Pelodiscus sinensis: one gene and its partners. The protein of the gene in region 1 purifies or fractionates together with the protein of each later gene. This does not show direct contact. Links are inferred from orthologs where the notes say so. Each region holds a gene or a part of one and is shown in the gene's direction. Other genes may lie near its edges.

Region 1 (8,054 bases):
GCTGCGACCCCGGGGCCCGGGCCCCACGGACTCACCCCACCCTCCGGCTGCGACCCCGGGGGCCCGGGCCCCACGGACTCACCCCACCCTCCAGCTGCGACCCCGGGGCCCGGGCCCCACGGACTCACCCCACCCTCCGGCTGCGACCCCGGGGGCCCGGGCCCCACGGTCTCACCCCACCCTCCGGCTGCGACCCCGGGCGCCCGGGCCCCACGGACTCACCCCACCCTCCAGCTGCAACCCCAGGGCCCGGGCCCCACGGACTCACCCCACCCTCCGGCTGCGACCTCAGGGCCCGGGCCCCACGGACTCACCCCACCCTCCGGCTGCGACCTCGGGGGCCCGGGCCCCACGGACTCACCCCACCCTCCGGCTGCGACCTCGGGGGCCCGGGCCCCACGGACTCACCCCACCCTCCGGCTGCGACCTCGGGGGCCCGGGCCCCACGGACTCACCCCACCCTCTGGCTGCGACCTCGGGGGCCCGGGCCCCACGGACTCACCCCACCCTCCGGCTGCGACCTCGGGGGCCCGGGCCCCACGGACTCACCCCACCCTCTGGCTGCGACCTCGGGGGCCCGGGCCCCACGGACTCACCCCACCCTCCGGCTGCGACCCCGGGCGCCCGGGCCCCACGGACTCACCCCACCCTCCGGCTGCGACCCCGGGCGCCCGGGCCCCACGGACTCACCCCACCCTCCGGCTGCGATCCCAGGTGCCCGGGCCCCACAGACTCACCCCACCCTCCGGCTGCGACCTCGGGGGCCCGGGCCCCACGGACTCACCCCACCCTCCGGCTGCGACCCCGGGCGCCCGGGCCCCACGGACTCACCCCACCCTCCGGCTGCGATCCCAGGTGCCCGGGCCCCACGGACTCACCCCACCCTCCGGCTGCGACCTCGGGGGCCCGGGCCCCACGGACTCACCCCACCCTCCGGCTGCGACCTCAGGGCCCGGGCCCCACGGACTCACCCCACCCTCCGGCTGCGACCTCGGGGGCCCGGGCCCCACGGACTCACCCCACCCTCCGGCTGCGACCTCGGGGGCCCGGGCCCCACGGACTCACCCCACCCTCCGGCTGCGACCTCGGGGGCCCGGGCCCCACGGACTCACCCCACCCTCTGGCTGCGACCTCGGGGGCCCGGGCCCCACGGACTCACCCCACCCTCCGGCTGCGACCTCGGGGGCCCGGGCCCCACGGACTCACCCCACCCTCTGGCTGCGACCTCGGGGGCCCGGGCCCCACGGACTCACCCCACCCTCCGGCTGCGACCCCGGGGCCCGGGCCCCACGGACTCACCCCACCCTCCGGCTGCGACCCCGGCGCCCGGGCCCCATGGACTCACCCCACCCTCCGGCTGCGACCCCGGCGCCCGGGCCCCACGGACTCACCCCACCCTCCGGCTGCGACCCCGGCGCCCGGGCCCCATGGACTGTCCTTGAGGGCTGCAGCCCAAGAGCTCCCTGCTGTGTGAATCACGATGCCTGGATGCTACAGATTTTGGGGGGGGGGGGGGGGGTGTCTGAACGTCTTACTTCATGTTACCTGAATTTGTTGTTTTATTAATAAAAACTGATCCTTGTGGAAGTGAGAGCCGGGCCGGGGGGGGGCGCTGGGGGGCAGGCTGGGGCTGGGGGGGCCTGAGTTGGGGCTCACTGGTTGTGACCTGAACAGTCCTTGGGGGGGCCCCCTTCAGTGCGACAGCCCCTTCTTGGGGCTCCTCCGGGGGGGCAGCCCCTCCTGGCACCCCCCCCCCCGTTCTCAGCCCCTGCAGGCCTGGCTCTGCCTGCCCCTCAGGGACCCCTGGCTCTGGCCCTGGAGCCCCGCGCCCGGCAGGTCAGGCAGGGGGGTCAGTGGGCGTCTGGCCCCAGTGCAGGAACCTCCCCCAGCCCTGGGCCTGGCCCCCTTGGCCCAGCGCGGCTCCCTCTGTCCTGCAGCCCTCCCCTCCCCTCCCACAGCCCAGCCTCCGCCCCCCCCCCCCCATGGCTTCTAGCAGAGCTCCCCCCGCTTTGTCTGACCTGGTAACTAGGTCCCTGGGCCCTTCTCCGATTCACCTCCTCCTCCTCCCTCCTGTGCCCGCCCCCACCCTACTGGGACCAACTGGGCAGAGTGCGGGGGCGAGGGGGGGGCTCTCTTCCCTCTGGCCTCACACTGGCCAGACCTGGCTGTGCCACCTGAGCTAGGCTGGGCCTCTCGGTCACTGGGTCCCCCACTGCAGGCTGGAGTTTCGGGGTCCCTGCTGCTACGTGAGGTCACCCCTGGTCCTGTGCAACAGCAAACCCTCCCCCGCCCCCTCATTACACACTCAGTGCACAGGGAAACTGAGGCACGGACACTATCCAGCTAAAATCCTACAAAAATCCCCACTTTGTCCCAATGCGGGGTGTGGCGCAGTGGGGGGGGGGGCTGTCTGCTCTGTATCCCGGGGTCCCCCTGTGCTGGGAGGTGCGATTCCCACTGACTCCCCCACGCGTGGTGATGTGGTGTCAGGACCTTGCTGGCTGCTGTGCCTGGGCTGTGGGCTGGGGGGGGACCTCTACTGGCCCCTGCCTGTGAGCACGGCCCAGCAGGGGGGCTGCCTAAGTCAGGTAGACAAAGACCCAACCGGTCAGACCAGTTGGGGCAGCCAGGGAACTAAGGAAGTGAGTGTTGGGGGAAGGGTCAGTCTTGGGCTGGAACCATGAAGGGGGGGGCTGGAATCGAGGGGCCTAGGGACCCCATCTCAAGGGGGCTGAGGCATCCTGGCTCCGCGGACTCCTGTAGCCACATCACGGCTGGGCTGTGCTGTATCCTGGAGAAGCAATAACCCCCCTCCCCCATTCTACCAGCTGGCGGAGTCTGTTCGGGGCTGCAGTGTCGGGGGATCCCGACACCTCGGCATAGTGGTGTCAGCAGTGGGATGCACGGCACTCCGTGGAGGGATGCAGGGGCTGCACCAAGGGGCTGTGGAGGAGCCTGGGGCCCAGGGAGGGAGAAGTGCTGGATGTGGGGAAGGGGCCCCAGTGCAGGTTGAATGGGGCAGGGGATTGGTGGTCCCCTCTCCCGACAGGGCTCCACTCGCCACACAACAGAGCAGCTTAGGAGACAGGTTCTCCCCCTCCCCCCAAGCCATGAGGCCAGAACCCAGGAGTCTGAATACACATGGGAGGGGGGAAGTGTCTCTAGGACTGACACCAGCTGGCACCCCTAGACCTGCCTCCCGACCCACGACCCCCCAAGCCACCCCCCTCGATAGTGCACCCCTAGACCCGCCCCTAAACCGGGGGGTCATGTTGCGCCCTCAGCTCCATGGGCGCCCCCCTCTGCTCCCCACGATTCCCAGGGAGAACCCCTTCAGTGGGCCAGCCTCTGAGAGGTCACGGCCCCTCCTGGGGGTTACCCTCTGGCTCCATGTCCCTTGGGATGTCACCCTTCTCGGGGACCCACATGCTTTGGGGTTAAGCCGTAGGCCCCTCTGCGTCCTAGAACCGCCCCTCACTGGCCTTTAGCGCGCCTGGCTCTTCCGAGTCCCCCTTATTTCTACTGTGCCCCGGTCACTCACTGCCGGATGCTCTGTCCACGGGGTTCAGCACATCCAGGGCTATCCCTAGGGGGGCTCCTTGCCCCCCAAGCCCCTTCCCCAAGCCCTGCTCCTGCTCTGCCCCCTTGACGGGTAGTACCAGGGGCTACATCACCCGCCACCTCCTACTCACCCTGGAGGCGGGAGGCTGCACTGTGTTGCCCTCCCAGCTCACTGCACCTCACTAGGTAAAATGCCAGGGAGGAGCCAGTGGGTCTCCGCAGTATTGCAACCCAAAAACATCCAGCTCTCCGAGCTGCAACCCCCAATACCTGCTCAGCCAAGTCAGAGTCCCCTGAATGGCACCCCAAAACCTGGAATGCGAAGCCTGCACCCTCTGATCCCCACCCCCTTCGACCCGCAACCCCCAAACCCAGAACCTCCCAGCCCCCCAAACTGCACCCCCAAACCTGCACCCTCCGACCCCCACCCCCTTCGACCCGCAACCCCCAAACCCAGAACCTCCCAGCCCCCCAAACTGCACCCCCAAACCTGCACCCTCCGACCCCCACCCCCTTCGACCCGCAACCCCCAAACCCAGAACCTCCCAGCCCCCCAAACTGCACCCCCAAACCTGCACCCTCCGATCCCCACCCCCTTCGACCCGCAACCCCCAAACCCAGAACCTCCCAGCCCCCCAAACTGCACCCCCAAACCTGCACCCTCCGACCCCTTCGACCCGCAACCCCCAAACCTGAGACTAACCCCCCCCCCCCGAGGCCCCACAGGGCTCTATCCTCAGTCAATGGGGCCCGGGCCAGGTGGTGGTGGGGGGGGGGGTCACGTGGCGAGACGGCCCCGCCCCCGGCCCCGCCTAGGACCCAAAGTTCCCCGGAACCCGCGCGCAAGGCGCCGGGCGGCCGCTCCCCCGCCGGAAGTGCCGCCTCCCGCGGAAGTTCCCGGCGTGTCTTTGACGCAGTGACCGGCCCGGGGCCCCGCACCGGCCCCTCCCCCTGCCGAGGTGCCCCCGGAAACGGGGTCCGGCCCCCCACGTGCCTGCGAGCCCACTTCCGGGGGGCGGGAAAGGGGGGGACACCGGGGGGCGATGGGGGGGGGCTCAAGGCACGGCCCGGGCGGGGGGAGAAATGGGGGGGCTCAGGGCCTGGGGGGGCGATGGGGGGGGCTCGGGGCCTGGGGGGGTAGGGGGCAATGGGGGGCTCAGGGCACGGCCTGGGGGGGGCAATGGGGGGCTCAGGGCACGGCATGGGGGGGCGATGGGGGGGCTCGGGGCCTGGGGGGGGGGTGGGGGGCAATGGGGGGCTCAGGGCACGGCCTGGGGGGGCGATGGGGGGGCTCGGGGCCTGGGGGGGTGGGGGGCAATGGGGGGCTCAGGGCACGGCCTGGGGGGGCGATGGGGGGGCTCGGAGCCTGGGGGGGGCAATGGGGGGCTCAGGGCACGGCCCGGGGGAGGGGGGGCTCAGGGTGGCATTGGCCCCTGACCTGCCCCGCGTGTCCCGTGCCCAGGGCCGCGCCATGGAGTGCTTGCTGGTGAGCCAGGATGGGCAGCACGACCCCGTGGCCCTGCCCGACGGGGTCCCCGTGGTGCTGGGCAGGGGGCCTCGCACCCGCGTGGCGGATAAGAAATGCTCCCGGAAGCAAGGTGGGTACCGGGGCTCTGCAAGCCGCCCCCCCCCCCTCAGTCCAGGCTCAAGGCCCTGTGCCAGGATAGGGCCCTATCTAGGTCCCTGGCTGTGGAGGGGGGGGGGGATTGAAGGGGAGGCATCCGAGTGTGCGGATTGGGGGGGTTCCAGTTTTCCATTCACTCATATCCCCCCCCCTCTCTTGCAGTGGAGTTACTGGCTGACTACAAGCACCAGGCTGTGAGAGTCACCCAGGTGAGGGGCAGGTTGGTGGCGGGCGGTTATATGGGGCTCCAAGCCCTGGGGAGCGGCGCGAGGACTGGTTATATGGGGCCCCGTCCCCCGGTTCTGCGGTACAGCCCCCGAGGCAGCGTTTCCTGTAAGCTTGGTGCTTGGGCAGCTGCCCAAGAGAGATTCGGGCACCGCCTAGCTGGTAGCAAAGTGCCTTCTCCTGGTGGTGCCCCTCTGCACGCACCTCGGTGCGTGGAACAGAACGTATTCCGCACACTGATGGAAAAGAGGAGGGGCCATTGCCCGGCAAAGGGGGGGGCTGTTCCTGCGCTCAGTCCCCCTGTTTTGCAGCGGGGCGTGAACCCCACATCGGTGGAGGAGCTGCAGCTGCAGCCCGGTGACAGCAGCACGCTGCAGGAGGGGCAGACGCTGTGGCTGGTCAACGGGCGCTACCCCTACACGCTGCACTTCCTGCCCGCCCCCCGCCGGAGCCTGGCCGGGGGTGGCGAGGGGCCAGCCTCTAAGAGGCCAAAGACCTCCAGCTCCACCGAGGAGGAGGGAGAGGAAGAAGAGGACCCTGCCGTGGTCGCAAAGCTGCGCCAGCTGCAGGAGACGGCAGCCAGCGCGGAGCAGGCAAAGGCCAGGCCCCCAGCTCCGCCCCAGGGGGAGGCCTCGGAGCAGCCCCCTCACCCCAGGGACTCCTGGCACGAGCATGGCAAGCTGCTGGTCTTCACCAAGCAGGGGGTGGTGCCCAGCACCAAGGTAGGAGTTAGCCTGGGGAACTGCCTGCCCTGCTGGGGGGGAAGGGGGGGCAGCTGGGCCCAGAGTGGGGAGGTTCCATGGGTCTGATGGGGAGGGGTGTCTATTGAGTGTGGGCACTGGAAGGGTCCATTTATTCTGATGGGGGGGGGGAAGCAGATTGGTCCATTGCTGTAGTGGGGGAGGCAGGTGGGTCCATGGCTGTGAGGACGGGTGGTGGATGGATCCATTGCTGGGGGGGTGGATCCACGTACTGTTCTTTGGCGGGGCAGAGGCGCTGGGTGGGACCATTGATGTGATGGGGGTGGATGAATCCATTGCTCTACCAGGGGGGTGCCTCGCTTCCATAGGTTGCTGGGTTTGACCTGGATGGAACCATCATCACGACCAAGTCTGGGAAGGTTTTTGCCACAAGCCCTGATGATTGGAGGTGAGCACAGAGCCCGGGCCGGTTAGCAGGGGTCAAGAGTGGGGACCTCCAACAGCATGGCGGCTGCAGGGCGGGGGGAGCCCAGGCATGGGGGGCAGGGGCTGCGGGTGGGGAGGGAGGGGCGCTGGCAGGGCTGGGGGGCAGGGGCTGCGGGTGGGGAGGGAGGGGCGCTGGTAGGGCTGGGGGGCAGGGGCTGCGGGTGGGGAGGGAGGGGCGCCGGCAGGGCTGGGGGGCAGGGGCTGCGGGTGGGGAGGGAGGGGCGCCGGCAGGGCTGGGGGGCAGGGGGTGCGGGCGGGGAATCGGGGGGCTGTTTTGGAAGTAACCCGTGTTTCATTCTCAGGATTTTGTACCCCGAGGTTGCCAAGAAGCTGAGGAAGCTACAGAGTGAGGGATATAAGGTTTGTTCTCCCCCCCCCCCCCATCCCTGCCCTGTCCCGCCCCCCGGTCCCTGACCTCATGTATCTTCCCCCTCCAGATTGTGATCTTCACCAACCAGCTGGGGATCAGCAAGGGCCGCCTGCGCCCTGAGGCCTTCAAGGCCAAGGCAGAGGCCGTGTTGGAGCAACTGGGGGTTCCCATGCAGGTAGGGGAGCTGGGGGGGGGAGGTGTCCCTGGCCCTACTTAGAGCCCCCGTCTCAGGAGGTGCCTCCTGTTGTGGGGATGCCCATGCCTGTCCCAGGAGTGACCCCCCCCCCCCCCGCGTTCTGCCCCCCAGGTGTTGGTGGCGACTGGCTCTGGGCTCTACCGCAAACCCCTGCTGGGCATGTGGGAGCATCTATGTGAGAAGGTACCAGGTTGGGGGCGGGGCGAGCAGAGGGAGGAGGCGGGGCCTTGGCCAGCTCCTCCCCCCATGTCTGACCCCTCCCACCCCCCAGGAGAACGGCGCCGTGGCAGTGACGCTGAAGAACAGTCTCTACGTGGGAGGTGAGCGGGCAGAAGGGGGTGTGGCTCCGCGGAGGGAGGGGGCTCCGTGGCCAGAGGCCGCTCTCCCTTGGGGTCCAGCCTGGTTCCCACCACTTTGCAGGCCCCTCATGGGTGCGATACCCTCAGGCTCTGGGGATGCTTCTTGCTGCTGGGTGGGGTCACTCCCTCCCCCCCCCCCGCCTGCCAGCCTGTTACGCTGCACAGGGGAAACTGAGGCATACCCCATCTTCATGTACAACACTGATTACCCCCCCCCCCGCCTGCCAGCCTGTTACGCTGCACAGGGGAAACTGAGGCATACCCCATCTTCATGTACAACACTGATTACCCCCCCCCCCCGCCTGCCAGCCTGTTACGCTGCACAGGGGAAACTGAGGCATACCCCATCTTCATGTACAACACTGATTAACCCCCCCCCCCTCGCCTGCCAGCCTGTTACGCTGCACAGGGGAAACTGAGGCATACCCCATCTTCATGTACAACACTGATTAACCCCCCCCCCTCGCCTGCCAGCCTGTTACGCTGCACAGGGGAAACTGAGGCATACCCCATCTTCATGTACAACACTGAT
Region 2 (7,602 bases), on another chromosome or scaffold:
GCCTGTGGTAGAGCAGGTGGGGCGCTGCCGGTTGGTCCCACAGCACCGCTCCTTGGCGCTACTGGACCAACCTGGCAGCACCCCAGCTACTCTGCCCCAGGAGTCCTGATTCAGCCGCTGCTGATCAGTTTCAGCAGTGGCTGAATCAGGACACCTGGGGCAGAGCAGCTGGGGTGCTGCTGGGTTGCTCCAGTAGCGCCAAGGAGCAGCCGCACTACTGGACCAACCCAGCAGCACCTGAGCTGCTCTGCCCCAGGCGTCCCCAAATTAGCCGCTGCTGAAACTGACCAGCGGCTGACTACAGGAAGCCCGAGGCAGAATTGCTCCGCCCCGGGCTTCCTGGAATCAGCTGCTGATCAGTTTCAGCAGCAGCTGACTTGGGGACGCCTGGGGTTCTTAAGTTGAATCTGTATGTAAGTCAGAACTGGTGTCCAGATTCAGCGGCTGAATCTGGATGCCAGTTCCGACTTACATACAGATTCAACTTAAGAACAAACCTACAGTCCCTATCTTGTACGTAACCCGGGGACTGCCTGTACACGTTTAATCAAGAAGGGGAGCCACTTTGCAGAGCTGCAACGTGGGTGGCTCCCAGACCCAGTGCAAGCTGGAACTGAGCAGTCCCAGCTCGCGCTGGCTCTGGGACTGCTGCACCTCTGCATTTTAAATGTAGTAAGAGTCCAGCAGCTCTTACTACATTTAAAGTGCAGAGGCACAGTAGTCCCAAACTGGTGCAAGCTAGGACTGCTTGGTCTCAGCTTGCACGGGGTCCAGCAGCCCGTTTGCGGTAGTCCAGACTGGCCATGGACAGGAGCTGCTGCCAGAGCAGCCGGGGCCACTGTGGGCAGAGGCTACTTCGTGGTAGCCTCCCCTATTGCCCCCTCCACCACCCTGCCTCTGATAGAGGCAGGGGCAGGCGACACTGCAGAGACAGTTCTGGGGGGAACTAGCTCCCCACAGCCCCCATTTCCCCCAGCCTTGCTGCCTCTTATACAGAGGCAGCAAGGTGAGACAGCAAGGGCGGAGGGAAGCGAGTAGTCAACTACCCAACTTGACTACTCACTTATATCCCTATCACAAAACAGATTCAACAGCTGGTTAGGGAGTTCCCTCCAATAAGGGAACACCTATACACAGCTGGGGATCTGGCCAGACTGCGCTGTACTTTGATAATTCTTGGACTAGCCCTGTGTAAGCACCATGTGTAATTTAAAGCAGGCTCGAGGATCCTCTAAAACAGGCTGAGGGCCAGAAGGGCAACTAGCAGCCCTGGGGATCAGGGGAACACAAAGGTGGCTCAAAGTATTTGCATTACCCTGATCCCAAAAGCACCAAGGATCAGTCTGCCATAGCTGGGAAACTGAAGCCTGATGTTATTCTGATATCTCACTGATTACACTATATCCAAATGTAGAGGTTTCCAGTTCACAAGGTTTTTATTATTAACAATATATGGTTGCAACATAGAAGTACCAGGTGGGTAAAATACTCCAGCCCCCACCAATTACCAGTTAACTGAAGCCTTTCCTGTTAAGAGTGACGGTTACCAGTTAATCTTTCACATCCTTAGTTTGAGGCCCAAGATTCCCACAACAGCAACCTAAGTCAACAGACTATCCATGCCTACATTCACCACTGCAGTCAATAACCACGATCAATCACATTAACTGGCTGCTTCAGTTAAAACATTAAATAATTAAGATTGGCATTTAAAAGGCAATTATTTGACTGTAAAGTCATATTATCATATTGAGATGGATAGGAGAGTTCATAATTCACACAACTGCTGTTTTAAGCTATCTGCAGTTTCAGTAAGACAACAATTAAGTTTACCCTCAAATCATATCTGGAATGTTTTTGCCTCTCACAATCAGAAAAGTTAAAAACTTAATTACTGGCTGTTACTGACAGCTTAGTTTCTAGCTGTACAGTTTTGCAGCAAAATTTGATAGAATTGTACAATTTAAGTGATTGTGACTCGGAATGATGAGAGGCAGGTATTTAATCGAAGAGCAAATATAATTTTTACTTACTACTCAATTAGGCGATAGGCAGCCCAGCTCAATCCCAGCTCGCACTGGGTGAAGGACCAAACCTAACTTTGGCTCTGCAACTTAAAAGACAATAGGAGCTAGGGGGCTTCGGCAAGTAAATACACTCCTGAACCCTTAATGTATATATCATATACAGCTCTCTACACACATAAGCAGTAGGGAAAGGCTGCACAGGGCAAAAGCTCCAGGACCTTCACGATTTGGAAATCTTTTACTGCAACAGTGAAATACTCCCAACATTTGGGAGACAATGCTTGTCACACTAATGTTAAATATGGCCCACCTCAGGCCACTGAGGACAGAGACTGCTCTGGCACCAGCTGGCTGTGGACGGGGGATGCTGCTTGAGCAGACCCTGCCCGCTGCTAGCCCTGGCCGCCATGAACAGGGGTTGCTTGGCGGCAACAGCCCCTGTCGGGGGGGGGGGGGGGGAGGAAGGAGTCCAGCACTTCACAGCAGCATCCCTTAACCCCCTGCTGCCTCAGAGAGAGGCAGCAGAGGCAGGCTGCACCCAGGAGATGGTACTTCACTGGTTCCCCTCAGCACTGGCTCCTGCTTCCCACCCTTGCTGCCTCTTTCTGAAAAAGGCAGCAGGGGGAGGTAGGGAGCAACTAGTTGACTAGTCAGTTGCATCCCTTCTTTGCTCTATGCAGAACATGTTCTTACTTGGACTTCTGCTTTTACAGAAAAAATAATCATCTCTAGATTCCAGTTTTCTCTCTCATTTTGCACTTAAGAGCCAAATTTAATAAATTAAATGACCCTTTGATCAACATGGTTAGTTATATTTTAGGGCAGAGTTTTCAATTTTTTCCCCTTCTATTATCCTACATTCTCAAATCCATTAAAGCAACATTAGAAAAGTCAGAAAGGTACAAAAGAGCTATAGCTCTCCCAGGCTGCTGCTGAAAAGGGAAAACTTCACTTATGCTCATCCTCCAAAGTGTCAGTGTATTTTCAGAGACCATTCAACAAGTCAGGCAACAACTGCTTTGGTCTGACACACCCTGTGCCTACAAGGCACAGCCATCATAAAGATCTTGCAAAGAATGCTTACACAAGCAACTATAGACTGAACCTCTCTATTCTGGCAGCCCGCAACCTAACTAGAGCCAAACCAGAGAATTTGCAGAGCCACAGGAGGTAAATATTGTGTAGCAGCATTACCAACACTTCCACTGCTTACTGGGCTCTTAGGGTATGTTTACACTGCATTCCTCTGTCCAGAGAGGAATGCAAATGCAGCTGAGCAAAATTGCAAATGAAGCATGGATTTGAATTTCCCATGCTTCATTTGCATAATCGCATCAGGCTGCTTTTTTGAAATAGCTTTTTTTTAAAATAAGGTGTCTAGATGTGATTATTTCAAAAGGAAACCCTTCTTTCGAAATTACCATTAAACCGCCTTTTAAGGAATATATATTATGCATTGTTCTCTTAAAACCCACATTATTTTCAAGAAAAAGCAACTACTCGTGTGTTATCAAGAATCTAACAGAAAATATCGTTTAAGCACATTTATCCCTTTAAAAAAGAAAGGGCGGCAAGATCTACCTGCTGCAGACTAGCGAGTATAACCGAATACTCAGCTACACATCACGTGCTCGCGAGAGTTCTCCCGCCCTTCACCTATTTGGGTCGCTGAATGACGTCACAGGCGCGATGGCGTCACTCAGCAAGCCAGGCATTGGTGACCGAAATGAAGCATAATGGGGGGGGGGGGGAGGGCAACCACGAGACTGAGTCTCCAGCGTGGTTACTGGAACAGGGGGGCCAGGAGCGCGGGGGCCTCTGAGCAAGCGCCACAAACCAGCCGCGAGCTCCTGGGGTCGGAGCCCCTCACAGATCAGGGAAAAGGAGGGGGAAGGGGAAGGGGCTCAGCGCCGCACAACCGGCACCTTCGCGCTTACCATAGCTCCCCGCTTCTAGACACATCACACTTCCGGGAACGAGGGGGGCAGAACCGGAAGAGGCGTTACCTAATTTTCTTCTGGTTGGTCGGGGAAGTGCCGGCTCGTGACTGACAGGCGTCAGCGGAGCCTCTGCGAGTGCTGATTGGGGGCGGCGGCCAGAGGGCTGGGGGGGTGCATAACTGTACCGGCGCGCGGCAGCTGGCGGCTTTGATTGGCTGCAGCAACTCACACTCCCCCGCCCCCACCGCGGGAAGGCGGAAACGGGATCGCACAGTGGGAGCGAGGTACAGGGGGGCTGTCGGGCGCTCCCACAAGGCGCGGGCCTCCTCTTGCCTGTGCCCTGGCAGCAGACTCCCTGCGTCCGCGCTGCCGCCTTGCTGGGGCGGGCGGGGTCGTGTAACTGAGGCGGGAAAGGGGCAGGAGCCTGCCAAGGGCTGTCGGGTGGGGCGGTGGCCTCCTTCCCCTCCACCAGAGATAGGGGCGGGGAAATTTCCGTTGGTGGGAGCAGAAACGGAGGGGAACGTCCGAGGCCTCGCCCTTCTCGCCCCGTCTCCGCGGGTATAGGAGCAGTAGCATGGGGGCAATCCCAGAAGCAGTGCTTGGGTCGCGGGGCAGCGGCTGGGTCTCTCTGCTTCCCTTCCCCGCCTCCCCTTCCTCCGTACACTGACCTCTAGCAGGCGCCTGTGTAATTTTTCAAGCCCTTCTGGACTTGTCTATACTGGGAACTTGCATGGGCATCCTTCAGTGCTGTGAAATATCCACATCCTTCAATAACGTTGCCAGGCCAACCTGATCCGTGGTGTACACAGTGCGAGGTTGATGAAATAATTACTTTGCCAGTCTGGAAGGTGGCTTTACTACTACAGCAATGGGAGAACTGTCAACATAAATAATGTCTACATAGACTGAAACTACGACTATAAAGGCAATGCAATTTTTAGAAGCTGCTGTATTAGGTTTCTAAATTCTGTGTTAGCTCTCCACCCTGCACTCCCCCCCTCCCCCCCAACAGGGCATAGCTAGTTGGTTGGTAGTCTTGCTTACTTCATTGGGTCATATGCCTACTTTTACATTGACCCTATGAGTACGCTTTGTATATATGAATGAAACTTGGCCTCCTTTTGCCCTCTTAGGATAAAAAGTGCTGGATGAAAAATGAATCTCCCCTTTTGATTGTCACTGAGTACCTGTAAATGAAGAATTCTTGCTGTTGATTTCTGGGCATGTTGTTTTTAAAGTTGGCAAACAAAGATTCATATGCTTCAGAGGGGTAGCTGTGTTAGTCTGTAAGAGGAAAAATGTAAACAACAAATAGTCTGGTAGCACTTTAAAGACTAACAAAACATTTAGATGGTATCAGATTCATCTGTACAGATAGATGCAGGTCTTTACTGGCAAACAGTATTCCATTTCATTTAACTTCTGTAAACTACCCTTTTTATGGAATATTTGTCATCTGTAGAAATATCTCACCACCTCCCATTCACTTAATAAATATATTTTTGTCTTACATGTAAGGGCCTATCATTGCTCATCTTGTCACTTCCCTTCTAAGTGACCAAACTATGGATATGAAATATAAAAACTGTAATTGGATATTGTGATTAAAACCCCACCTGTCTAGTTGAAATGACAGTGGTAGCTCTAATACATTTTTGTGAGCATTTCTGTTTTAAAGGGCACATCTGATTTTTCCCTTGACTTGTTCTGTAACTCATGATAGAACGGCTTGTTATCCTATAGCAGTCAAGGTAATCTTTAAAGAGTTAGTTTATCCCATTTTGGCACCATGCCATGATACTTAAAACATTTTCCAGTGTTTGGTTACTCCTTGTTGTGTAAAGTGCGTAAAGTTTAATCATTTCATTCTAAGCATCTATTAGAAATGTGGAACTGCAGTGATGCGGTAATATCTTATTTAGTGAAGTATGATGAATCAAATAAAAAAAACATTGTTTTAAATGAAGCACCCCATTTCAAAAAAAGAACATCTTAACAATTGGTTTGGTTTTGCAGGTAAATTCAGAATGATCCTCACTGTTTACTCCTGGAAGCATATAAGACAACAGAGTAGACTTAAAAAGAAGCAGATTCATCTATCAGTCTCCTCAGCTTAGATTTTATTGCAGCTCCTGTGTGCTAATTCACTTCATTATCCTCCTTTCCTTTATGGAAATGCTACCTTGGTGGGAGCTTTAAATTTATGTGACAGACTTGGTGTGGCTAAGTTGGAAATGCTTGAATAAAGGTAATACTTATGTGTCAGAGCTATAACCCCTTTTCTCATACTTAGCTACTAAAAGGCACAAATTAATTGAAACCTTTGTAGTTTTTTAATTGTCCAGTGTGGTGATTTAGGTTATTGGCTCACTGAAGTCATTACATGCATCAGGGGGCCTGTTAGAGCTATGAAATCCATAGTGATGCTTTCATCTGACAGCTGATTTTGAAGGAGGTCTATATCTCTACCTCCATAGTCTTTGCAGTAGATAGGATTTAATTTGTGGGATCACTGTGGTGAAATAGATGTAGCCTTGTTATTTTGTGAGCAGTTAGCTTTGATCTTCTGAGAAATTTCAGTAAGACAACACTATATGTGAGAATGTAAAATTTCAGTGGAAGAGTGTGACTATTATTTTTGTGCTAAGGACTAGAGATGTAAGAGATTAGTCAACTATCCAATAATCAGAAGCTTAGCGGATAGTTGACTAGTCATGCGACTAGTCGCTTCTCCCCCTCCTCCCCCCTCGCTGCCTCTATCAGATAGAGGCAGCAAGAGGGAGAGGAGCAGGAGCTGGTGCTAGGGAGAGCCGGCTTAAAAGCTGGTTCCCCCTAGCACCGTCTCTGTGGTGGGCAGGGGAGATAGCGGCACAACAGGAAATGCCACGAGCGGGGACTGAAGCAGTCTCTGCTTGCCGCACTTCTGCTGCTATTCTACTTTTGAAATTTCAAAAGCAGAAGCCCCGCAGAGAGCATGGGGCTTCTGCTTTTGAACTGTAGCAAGAGCCTGATAGGGCTCTTGCTTCAGTGCAAAGGCACCCTTATAGACTAATTGAATAGTCAGTGGAAATCCCATCAATTGTTCAGTTTAGTTAATTAATCTAAATTTAACATCCCTGCTAAGGACTGTCACCACTGATCTGTTTTCTGAAAGGTTACTGAATAGCTGAATGTCATTTTCCCATTTCCAAGTTTGATGGTGTTTAACTTTAAAGGTACCAGTTCAAGAGCAATAGATTTGATTTGGGGACTCTCTTTTTAAGGTTCATACGTCAAGTGTTGGACTTATTGGTGGGGCCATTGTAAAGAGGACAGAAGTCTATATGCATTGCAGAATTTTGTGATGGATACTACTTCTATCACTGGAAAAAGAGGGAGAATAATTCCACCTTGCCTGGAAGAGACAAAGGGATATCAGTTGATTTCCTATGAATGTTGCATGATGAAGTCAGGAAATAACACTACAATAAAGGATACACTTATAAAAACTTACTTCTGTAGCAAATCTGGTCAGTCTTCTGTTTATATCAAATATTTTTGGGCCAGTGAAACAAACACATTGAGCAGCTTTTACATTTAAACATCTATGTTGCCCTTACAAGTGTAATTTTTTTTTCCAGAGAACAACTTAGCTT
Region 3 (7,556 bases), on another chromosome or scaffold:
GGGAGAAGTAGATACGTTTGAGAGCAGAAATAGGGTCCAGAGTGACTTAGACAAATTGGAGGTTTGGGCCACAAGAAATCTGATGAGGTTCAACAAGGACAAATGCAGAGTCCTGCACTTGGGATGGAAGAATCCCAAGCATAGTTACAAGCTGGGGACCAACCAGTTAAGTAGTAGTTCTGCAGAAGAGGACTTTGGGGTTACAGTGGATGAGATGCTGGATATGAGTCAACAGTGTGCCCTTGTAGCCAAGTTCTGGCCCCCCACTACAAAAAGGATGTGGACGCATTGGAGAAGGTCCAGCGGAGGGCAACCAAAATGATTAGAGGGCTGGAGCATATGACTTATGAGGAGAGGCTGAGGGAGTTGGGTCTGTTTAGTCTACAGAAGCGAAGAGTGAGGGGGGATTTGATAGCAGCCTTCAACTTCCTGAAGGGAGGTTTCAAAGAGGCTGGAGAAAGGCTGTTCACAGTAGTGACAGATGGCAGAACAAGGAGCAATGGTCTCAAGTTGTGGTGGGAAAGGTCCAGGTTGGATATTAGGAAAAACTATTTCACTAGGAAGGTAGTAAAGCACTGGAATGGGTTACCTAGGGAAGTAGTGGAGTCTCCATCCCTAGAGGTGTTTAAGTCTCAGCTTGACAAAGCCCTGGCAGGGTTAATTTAGTTGGGATTGGTCCTGCCTAGAGCAGGGGGCTGGACTCGATGGCCTCCTGAGGTCTCTTCCAGCTCTATGGCTCTATGATTCTATGATAAGGTCATGGTTGATAATCAGCTGAACATGAGCTCCCAGTTTGATGCTGTAGCCAAAAGAGCTAATGAGATTCTGGGATGCATACATAGGGGCATCTCAAGAAAGAAGGGAGAGGTTATTTCAACCTCTGTATTTGGCACTGGTGCTGCAAAACCATGCCCGGTGCCGGTGCCCACAATTCAAGATGAAAGTTGATAAATTGGAGAGGGCTGGGTTTAGAGAAAAGCCACAAGAGCGATTAAAGGTTTAGAAAATCTGCTTTATGCTGATAGACTCAAAGAGCTGAATCTGTTTAGCTTAACAAAGAAACGGCTGAAGTGTGACTTGATCACAGTCTGTAAGTACCTATGTGGGGAATATAGATTTGATAATGGGGCTTTTCAGTCTAGTAGAGAAAGGTCTAATATGAACCAGTGGCTGGAGGCTGAAGGTAGACAAAATCAGATATGAAATAAGGCATTTTTTTCCCAGTAAGAATAATTAGCTGTTAGAACAATTTACCAAGTATCATGGTAGAGTCTCATTACTGACCCTTTTTTTAAATCAGGATTCTATAGGATTTGCTCTGGGAATTATTTTGGGGCAAGTCTTTGGCCTGTACTAGGAGACCAGACTCAATGATCACAATGGACTGCTCTGGGCTGGAATCTATGTGTAGTCACCTTACTAAAGGTGCTTCTGCTTATTTTCTGGGAAGACCCTGTGTGTGGCAATCTAACCTCACAGACTACAATTCCCATGAGCCCTGGGGAAAAACAGGAAGGAAGGACTCTTGATGGGGAGAGCTGAGTCTCTCCATGTGTGTGGAGAAAGACTCAGCAGTCTGTGGACTCCCTGGCTGTGTCTACATTAGCATCCCTTTTCCGGAAAAGGGTGCCAATGAGACAAGTCGGAATTGCAAATGCCGCAGGGGATTTAAATATCCCCTGCAGCATTTGCATGAACATGGCTGCCGCTTTTTTCCGGCTCGGGGCTTTGCCAGAGAAAAGCGCCAGTCTAGACGGGATCTTTCGGAAAATAAAGCGTTTTCTGGAAGATCCCTTATTCCTCTTAAAATCAGGAATAAGGGATCTTCCAGAAAAGGCTTTATTTTCCGAAAGATCTCGTCTAGACTGGCGCTTTTTTCTGGCAAAGCCCCGAGCCAGAAAAAAGCGGCAGCCATGTTCATGCAAATGCCGCGGGGGATATTTAAATCCCCCGCGGCATTTGCAATGCCGACTTGTCTCATTGGCACCCTTTTCCGGAAAAGGGATGCTAATGTAGGCACAGCCCCTCTGTTTTTGGACCAGAAAGGGAGCCAGGGAGTTTGATACAGTTCAGGAGCTGTTATGTTGCAGTTACAGACTGGGACAGCAAGCCTTTGGAACTGGGATCTAGCAGGCTGCTTTTGATTGCCCAAGAGAGGAGGTCCTTTGGCTGTACTTGTGTCTAGCAGCTACTCTGCATCCAGCACATAAAAGGAGACTGTGAGTAACTGGGCATCTTTGGGAAAATGCTGCCTGGGACAGACCTCAGAGATTCAGACTAACTCTGGGTTCAAAGAGAAGGAGAGAGGCCAACCCAGTGAACCAGAGCTGCGGCATAGTTTGGACCCACATACACACTACCTACAGAGAATCTCCATTATAGCTGCAGTTCTTCAAGCGCGCCCATGCAAGCAAGAATTTGGGACTCTGAGTCCAGGGGTGTGCACACTGGGGTGGGATAAATATTGGTAGCTAGATAAGTTCATTTTACTTTTGTGTACTTTGTTAATTAATGTTATTCACTGTTAATTTGTTAAATCCTGTTTCTTTAAGTTAAGTAAAGGTTGTTCATTCTAATGCAATCTATTAGATGTATATTATTTATGATTTGTAATTGTTGTTCGGGAGTTAGATCCAGTTTATTGCTGGAATAAGTTTATTCCTAGAGGCTTCCAAGGCACACCCGTGTGTACAGGGCCAGCCAGGTGGAGGCACCACCATTGTACATTCTTTATGAGCAAGGGACAGCAGCAAGGGGGTGGAGAGGTTTTCCCCAACCAAACAACATCACCACTGGGGTACTCAGGATCTCCTTTTATGTCAAGCCCATCAGGCCCTGTGCTGTGACCTGCTCCCAAGTATCCCAGGGAGGAAAAAGGGGTTACATATGAATGAGGGACTAGGGCTTCTGGTGAAGAGGGGGAGGTTTCATGCTATAAGGAAGATGGGGTCTGTGCTGAGGGGCCAGGTGTATGATGCTGAGGGGGGGTCTCTATGGGGGCAGGGTCTGTGCTGAGGGGGGGGTCTCTATGGGGGCAGGGTCTGTGGTGAGGGGCCAGGTGTATGATGCTGAGGGGGGGTCTCTATGGGGGCAGGGTCTGTGGTGAGGGGCCAGGTGTATGATGCTGAGGGGGGGGTCTCTATGGGGGCAGGGTCTGTGGTGAGGGGCCAGGTGTATGATGCTGAGGGGGGGTCTCTATGGGGGCAGGGTCTGGGGGCAGGGTCTGTGGTGAGGGAGGGGTTTGCTGTGAGGGGCAGGGTCTGTGGTGAGGGAGGGGTTTGCTGTGAGGGGCAGGGACTGTGCTGAGGGGAGGGGTTTGCTGTGAGGGGCAGGGTCTGTGCTGAGGGGAGGGGTTTGCTGTGAGGGGCAGGGACTGTGCTGAGGGGAGGGGTTTGCTGTGAGGGGCAGGGTCTGTGCTGAGGGGAGGGGTTTGCTGTGAGGGGCAGGGACTGTGCTGAGGGGAGGGGTTTGCTGTGAGGGGCAGGGTCTGTGCTGAGGGGAGGGGTTTGCTGTGAGGGGCAGTGTCTGTGCTGAGGGGAGGGGTTTGCTGTGAGGGGCAGGGTCTGTGCTGAGGGGAGGGGTTTGCTGTGAGGGGCAGGGTCTGTGCTGAGGGGAGGGGTTTGCTGTGAGGGGCAGGGACTGTGCTGAGGGGAGGGGTTTGCTGTGAGGGGCAGGGTCTGTGCTGAGGGAGGGGTTTGCTGTGAGGGGCAGGGTCTGTGCTGAGGGGAGGGGTTTGCTGTGAGGGGCAGGGTCTGTGCTGAGGGGATGAGGTTACTTTCAAGGGAGGGGTTGTGAAGAGATGGGGGGTTGCCTGGAGGAGGCAGGGTCACTAGAGATGGGCGTGGTTGTTGTCAGGGTGACTAGGTGAGGGGCAGGGCTTGTTGGGAGGGGGTGGGCGTTGTTGTTAGGGGCGGGGCTTGTGGTGAGGGGAACGAGGTTAGCCTGGGTCTGTGGTGACAGGCGGGGCTCGTGAGGGGCGGGGTTTTCTCAGCGGGGTCTCTGGGAAGGCAGTTGCTGAGGGGCGGGGTCTCTGTTCCGTGCGAGGCGCGGCCCACCACGCTACGGGGCCCGAGGGGCGGGGCCCTGCTACCGGCCCAGCCGCCGTGGCTCACGAGCCCGTGCGCATGCGCCATATCCTAGGCCCCGCCCCGGCCGCGAGTCCCGGATTTAAAGGGGACGCGGCGCACGCGGCTTTGGCCTAGGCCGGTCGCTCTCCGAGCCCGCAGCGAGGACTCCCTTCCTTGCCCAGCCCTGCCCCCTCCCGCTGGCACAGCCGCGAGGCTCTGAGGGGCGCCCCCGGCCCGCCCCGCCCCTCCCCCGCGGTGTAACGCGGCTCTGAGGGCTCCGCGCTGGGCCTTGTCCCCGAGGGCCGCGCGCCGCATGCCCGCTGCCCTCCAGCGCCTCCTCCCGCCGGCCGCCCGGGCGCTGAGCCGACGGGCCGGGCTCTGCCTGCGCGCGGGCAGCGCGCTCCTGGGTCAGCCCCTTCCCGCCAGCCGCCACCGGGCTCTTCCCTCAGCCGCGCCCCTCTGGCCCCGCCGGCTCTGCGCGGCCCCCGCGGTCATGGCGGAGCAGAGGTTCTGCGTGGACTACGCCAAGCGCGGCACCGCCGGCTGCAGGAAGTGCAAGGAGAAGCTCCTGAAGGGCATGGTGCGCATCGGCAAGGTGGTGCCCAACCCCTTCTCGGAGTCGGGGGGCGACATGAAGGAGTGGTACCACGTCAAGTGCGTCTTCGAGAAACTAGAGCGGGCTCGGGCCACGACGAAGAAGATTGAGGACATCACGGACTTGGAGGGCTGGGAAATGCTCCAAGATGAAGAGAAACAGATGATAAGCCAGCACATCGCAGGTGAGACACTAGAGGGAGACCCACTGTGCCTTGCACCTTTATCAGCTGTAACAGTAGGAAATGTGGCGTCAGTGATTTCTACTCCATAGAGGCATTGCACACAGGGCATTGCAGTGGTTTGTGATGAGTGCAGTTGTCTTTTTCTCTGCATCCCAAAAACTGCTATGAGTCTTTCCCAGGCTATGTCTAGACTGCCAGCCTCTTTCGAAAGAGGCTTTTTCGGAAGTATCTTTCTAAAAAAACCTCTTTCGAAAAAGAGCGTCTAGACTGCAGCCAGTCCTTTCGAAAAAGCAAGCTGCTTTTTCGAAAGAAAGCACCCAGGCAGTCTGGATGCTCTCTTTCAAAAACGCCCTGTTTGCATTCAAGAACGCCTTTTTTCGAAAGAGCTCTTTCGAAAAAAGGCATTCTTCTTCGTGAAATTAGGTTTACCGCCGTCTAAAGAAAAGCCGCGTTCTTTCGATTTAATTTCGAAAGAACGCAGCTGTAGTCTGGACACAGCCCCAGTGAGTTGAGAGAACTTGTCTGTCCTTGAATGCAATGGGAAGGAACTGTAAGAAGGCATTGCAGGACTATCGGCATGCACATGATTTATTATTGTCGCTTCATGGAACAGCAAAGAATAGAGAGTCCCTGCCTGAAGTAGCTTAGCCTGCATCCTTACTGAAAACTAGGTGGAGGAATAGCTCAGTGGTTTGAGTATTGTGAGTTCACTACTTGAGGGGGCCATTTAGGGATCTGGGATAAATCTGTCAGGGATGGTACTTGGTCCTGCTGCGAAAGCAGGGGATTGGACTTGATGACCTCTCAGGTGTGTATCAGAGAACCCCTGACAAAAAATTATTGCCCACCCTTGGGCTAGATCCTGGGTGCTACTTTCACTCCCACTGGTAAAATATTTAAAATCTCCATACATTTTAAATATTTTACCAGCGGGAGTGAAAGTAGCACCCAGGATCTAGCCCAAGGGTGGGCAATAATTTTTTGTCAGGGGTTCTCTGATACACACCTGAGAGGTCATCATCAGAGAACCCCTGACAAAAAATTATTGCCCACCCTTGGGCTAGATCCTGGGTGCTACTTTCACTCCCGCTGGTAAAATATTTAAAATGTATGGAGATTTTAAATATTTTACCAGCGGGAGTGAAAGTAGCACCCAGGATCTAGCCCAAGGGTGGGCAATAATTTTTTTGTCAGGAGCCACTTCAGAAATGTCACACAGGAAGGGATGGGGCCAAGATACTTCCAAGTTCCCTGCCCCCAGACAATGATTGGTCTGGGGGTGAGGAACTGCCTTTGCTACCCCACATTGCCCCTAGGTAGCTCATGCCCCTGGCATGGGAGGAGACTTCCCACGTTCCCCTGCCCCTAGGCCTAATAGAGCCTGGGGGTGGGAGAGTACATGAAGCCTCCTCCGCTCTGCCCCCATCTTGCTTCAAAGCACCATTTGCTCCTGGCATGACAGGAGGAGGCTTTGCATGCTCCCCAGGCCCTCATTGGCCTGGGGACAGGAGAGCAGCAGGGCCTCCATCGGCCAGATCTGGCCTAAGGAGGCCCTTTTGCCCACCCCTGGTCTAGCCTATCCCCTCAGCTGGGCTAACTAAACCCAGGCTTAAAATAAGATCATGAGAGTGTTTTATGTGCAGATGGGAGGGGGCTAGAGGCAACATCTAAACCAATGCCTGAGTGAACTCTGCAATTAAGACATGCTCTCAGAATGCAAGCACTGGAAGGCTGGAGGGAGGAAGCCCTACTCTCTAATGAAACTTAAATACCAACAACGGTTCTGTGGCACCTTGGAGACTAACAAATATATAAATAGTATCGTGAACTTTCATGGGCACGACCCACTTCTTCAGGTGACATATCATGGAGCAAAGGGCATAGATTTTGAAATATAAAGCCGAAAAAGAGGGAAGAAATGGAGGTGAGAGGAAAAAACCCTATCAATTAGTGTCAAGGCTAATGGAGTAGGCTGTAAGTGCAAGTCACTAGGAGCCCTGGTCAGCTCTATTTTGCTGTTTGAGCTGGGGCTCATTACTGAGCTCCTAGTAGACATTTTACAAATAAAACTACCTATCCCCTCTCTCCGTGTGTTGGCTATTTGTAAGTTCTGACAAAAGTTGCTTATTTCAAAGTATTGTAAGTTACTTACCTGATTTTGTTGTTGAGGGTTTACAGGTTGTCTTAGATCACTTATGCAGATGCTTTACCTCTTACTGTGTTCCACAGAGGCTACTTCCAAGGCTGCAAACACACCTAAGAAAAAAGCAACAGTCCAAGCCAAGCTCTCCCCCAGTGGGCAGATAACCACTCCCAAGAAGGAGCTACCAGCTGCCCCCAATCCATCACCAAAGAAATTCTCTGGCTTCACAGGTGAGATATATTACACTGATGCTAGGGGAGCCCCCGTTCTTATAATAGCATCAGTGGAGTTTGAGTCAAACCTCAGGGTTGTGTCTAGACTGGCATGATTTTGCGCAAAAACTTTTAATGGAAAAGTTTTTCCATTAAAAGTATTTGCGCAAGAGAGCGTCTATTCTGGCATGTGCCTTTGTGCAAAAGATTTGCTTTTGCACAAAAGCATCCGTGCTAGTGTAGATGCTCTCTTGCGCAAAAAAGTTCCAATGGCCATTTTAGCCATCGGGCTTTCTTGCGCAAGAAATTAACGTTGCTGTCTACACTGGCCCTCTTGCGCAAGAATACTTGCACA

Evidence for each region. Proteins that work in one complex are often made in the same cells at the same time.
Region 2: the proteins of PNKP (region 1) and XRCC4 purify together in Homo sapiens (co-immunoprecipitation; 5 studies listed by BioGRID and IntAct, counting the BioPlex papers as one, with this or other methods). This does not show direct contact. The link is inferred for Pelodiscus sinensis from reciprocal best matches to the Homo sapiens genes PNKP and XRCC4.
Region 3: the proteins of PNKP (region 1) and LIG3 purify together in Homo sapiens (co-immunoprecipitation; 5 studies listed by BioGRID and IntAct, with this or other methods). This does not show direct contact. The link is inferred for Pelodiscus sinensis from reciprocal best matches to the Homo sapiens genes PNKP and LIG3.

What each region holds. Positions count from the first base shown.
Region 1 is NW_027465870.1:138,482-146,535, forward strand, and holds the start of PNKP (bifunctional polynucleotide phosphatase/kinase), read left to right. Parts: upstream 1-4,918; 5' UTR 4,919-4,939; coding exon 4,940-5,159; intron 5,160-5,347; coding exon 5,348-5,394; intron 5,395-5,721; coding exon 5,722-6,132; intron 6,133-6,479; coding exon 6,480-6,559; intron 6,560-6,899; coding exon 6,900-6,957; intron 6,958-7,034; coding exon 7,035-7,142; intron 7,143-7,274; coding exon 7,275-7,346; intron 7,347-7,434; coding exon 7,435-7,483; intron 7,484-8,054. UniProt on the Homo sapiens protein: Plays a key role in the repair of DNA damage, functioning as part of both the non-homologous end-joining (NHEJ) and base excision repair (BER) pathways.
Region 2 is NC_134716.1:79,415,906-79,423,507, reverse strand, and holds the start of XRCC4 (DNA repair protein XRCC4), read left to right. Parts: upstream 1-4,104; 5' UTR 4,105-4,251; intron 4,252-7,602. Other genes in the region: TMEM167A (protein kish-A), read right to left, coding at 3,965-3,967.
Region 3 is NC_134731.1:17,267,581-17,275,136, reverse strand, and holds the start of LIG3 (DNA ligase 3), read left to right. Parts: upstream 1-4,058; 5' UTR 4,059-4,380; coding exon 4,381-4,846; intron 4,847-7,075; coding exon 7,076-7,219; intron 7,220-7,556. UniProt on the Homo sapiens protein: Isoform 3 functions as a heterodimer with DNA-repair protein XRCC1 in the nucleus and can correct defective DNA strand-break repair and sister chromatid exchange following treatment with ionizing radiation and alkylating agents.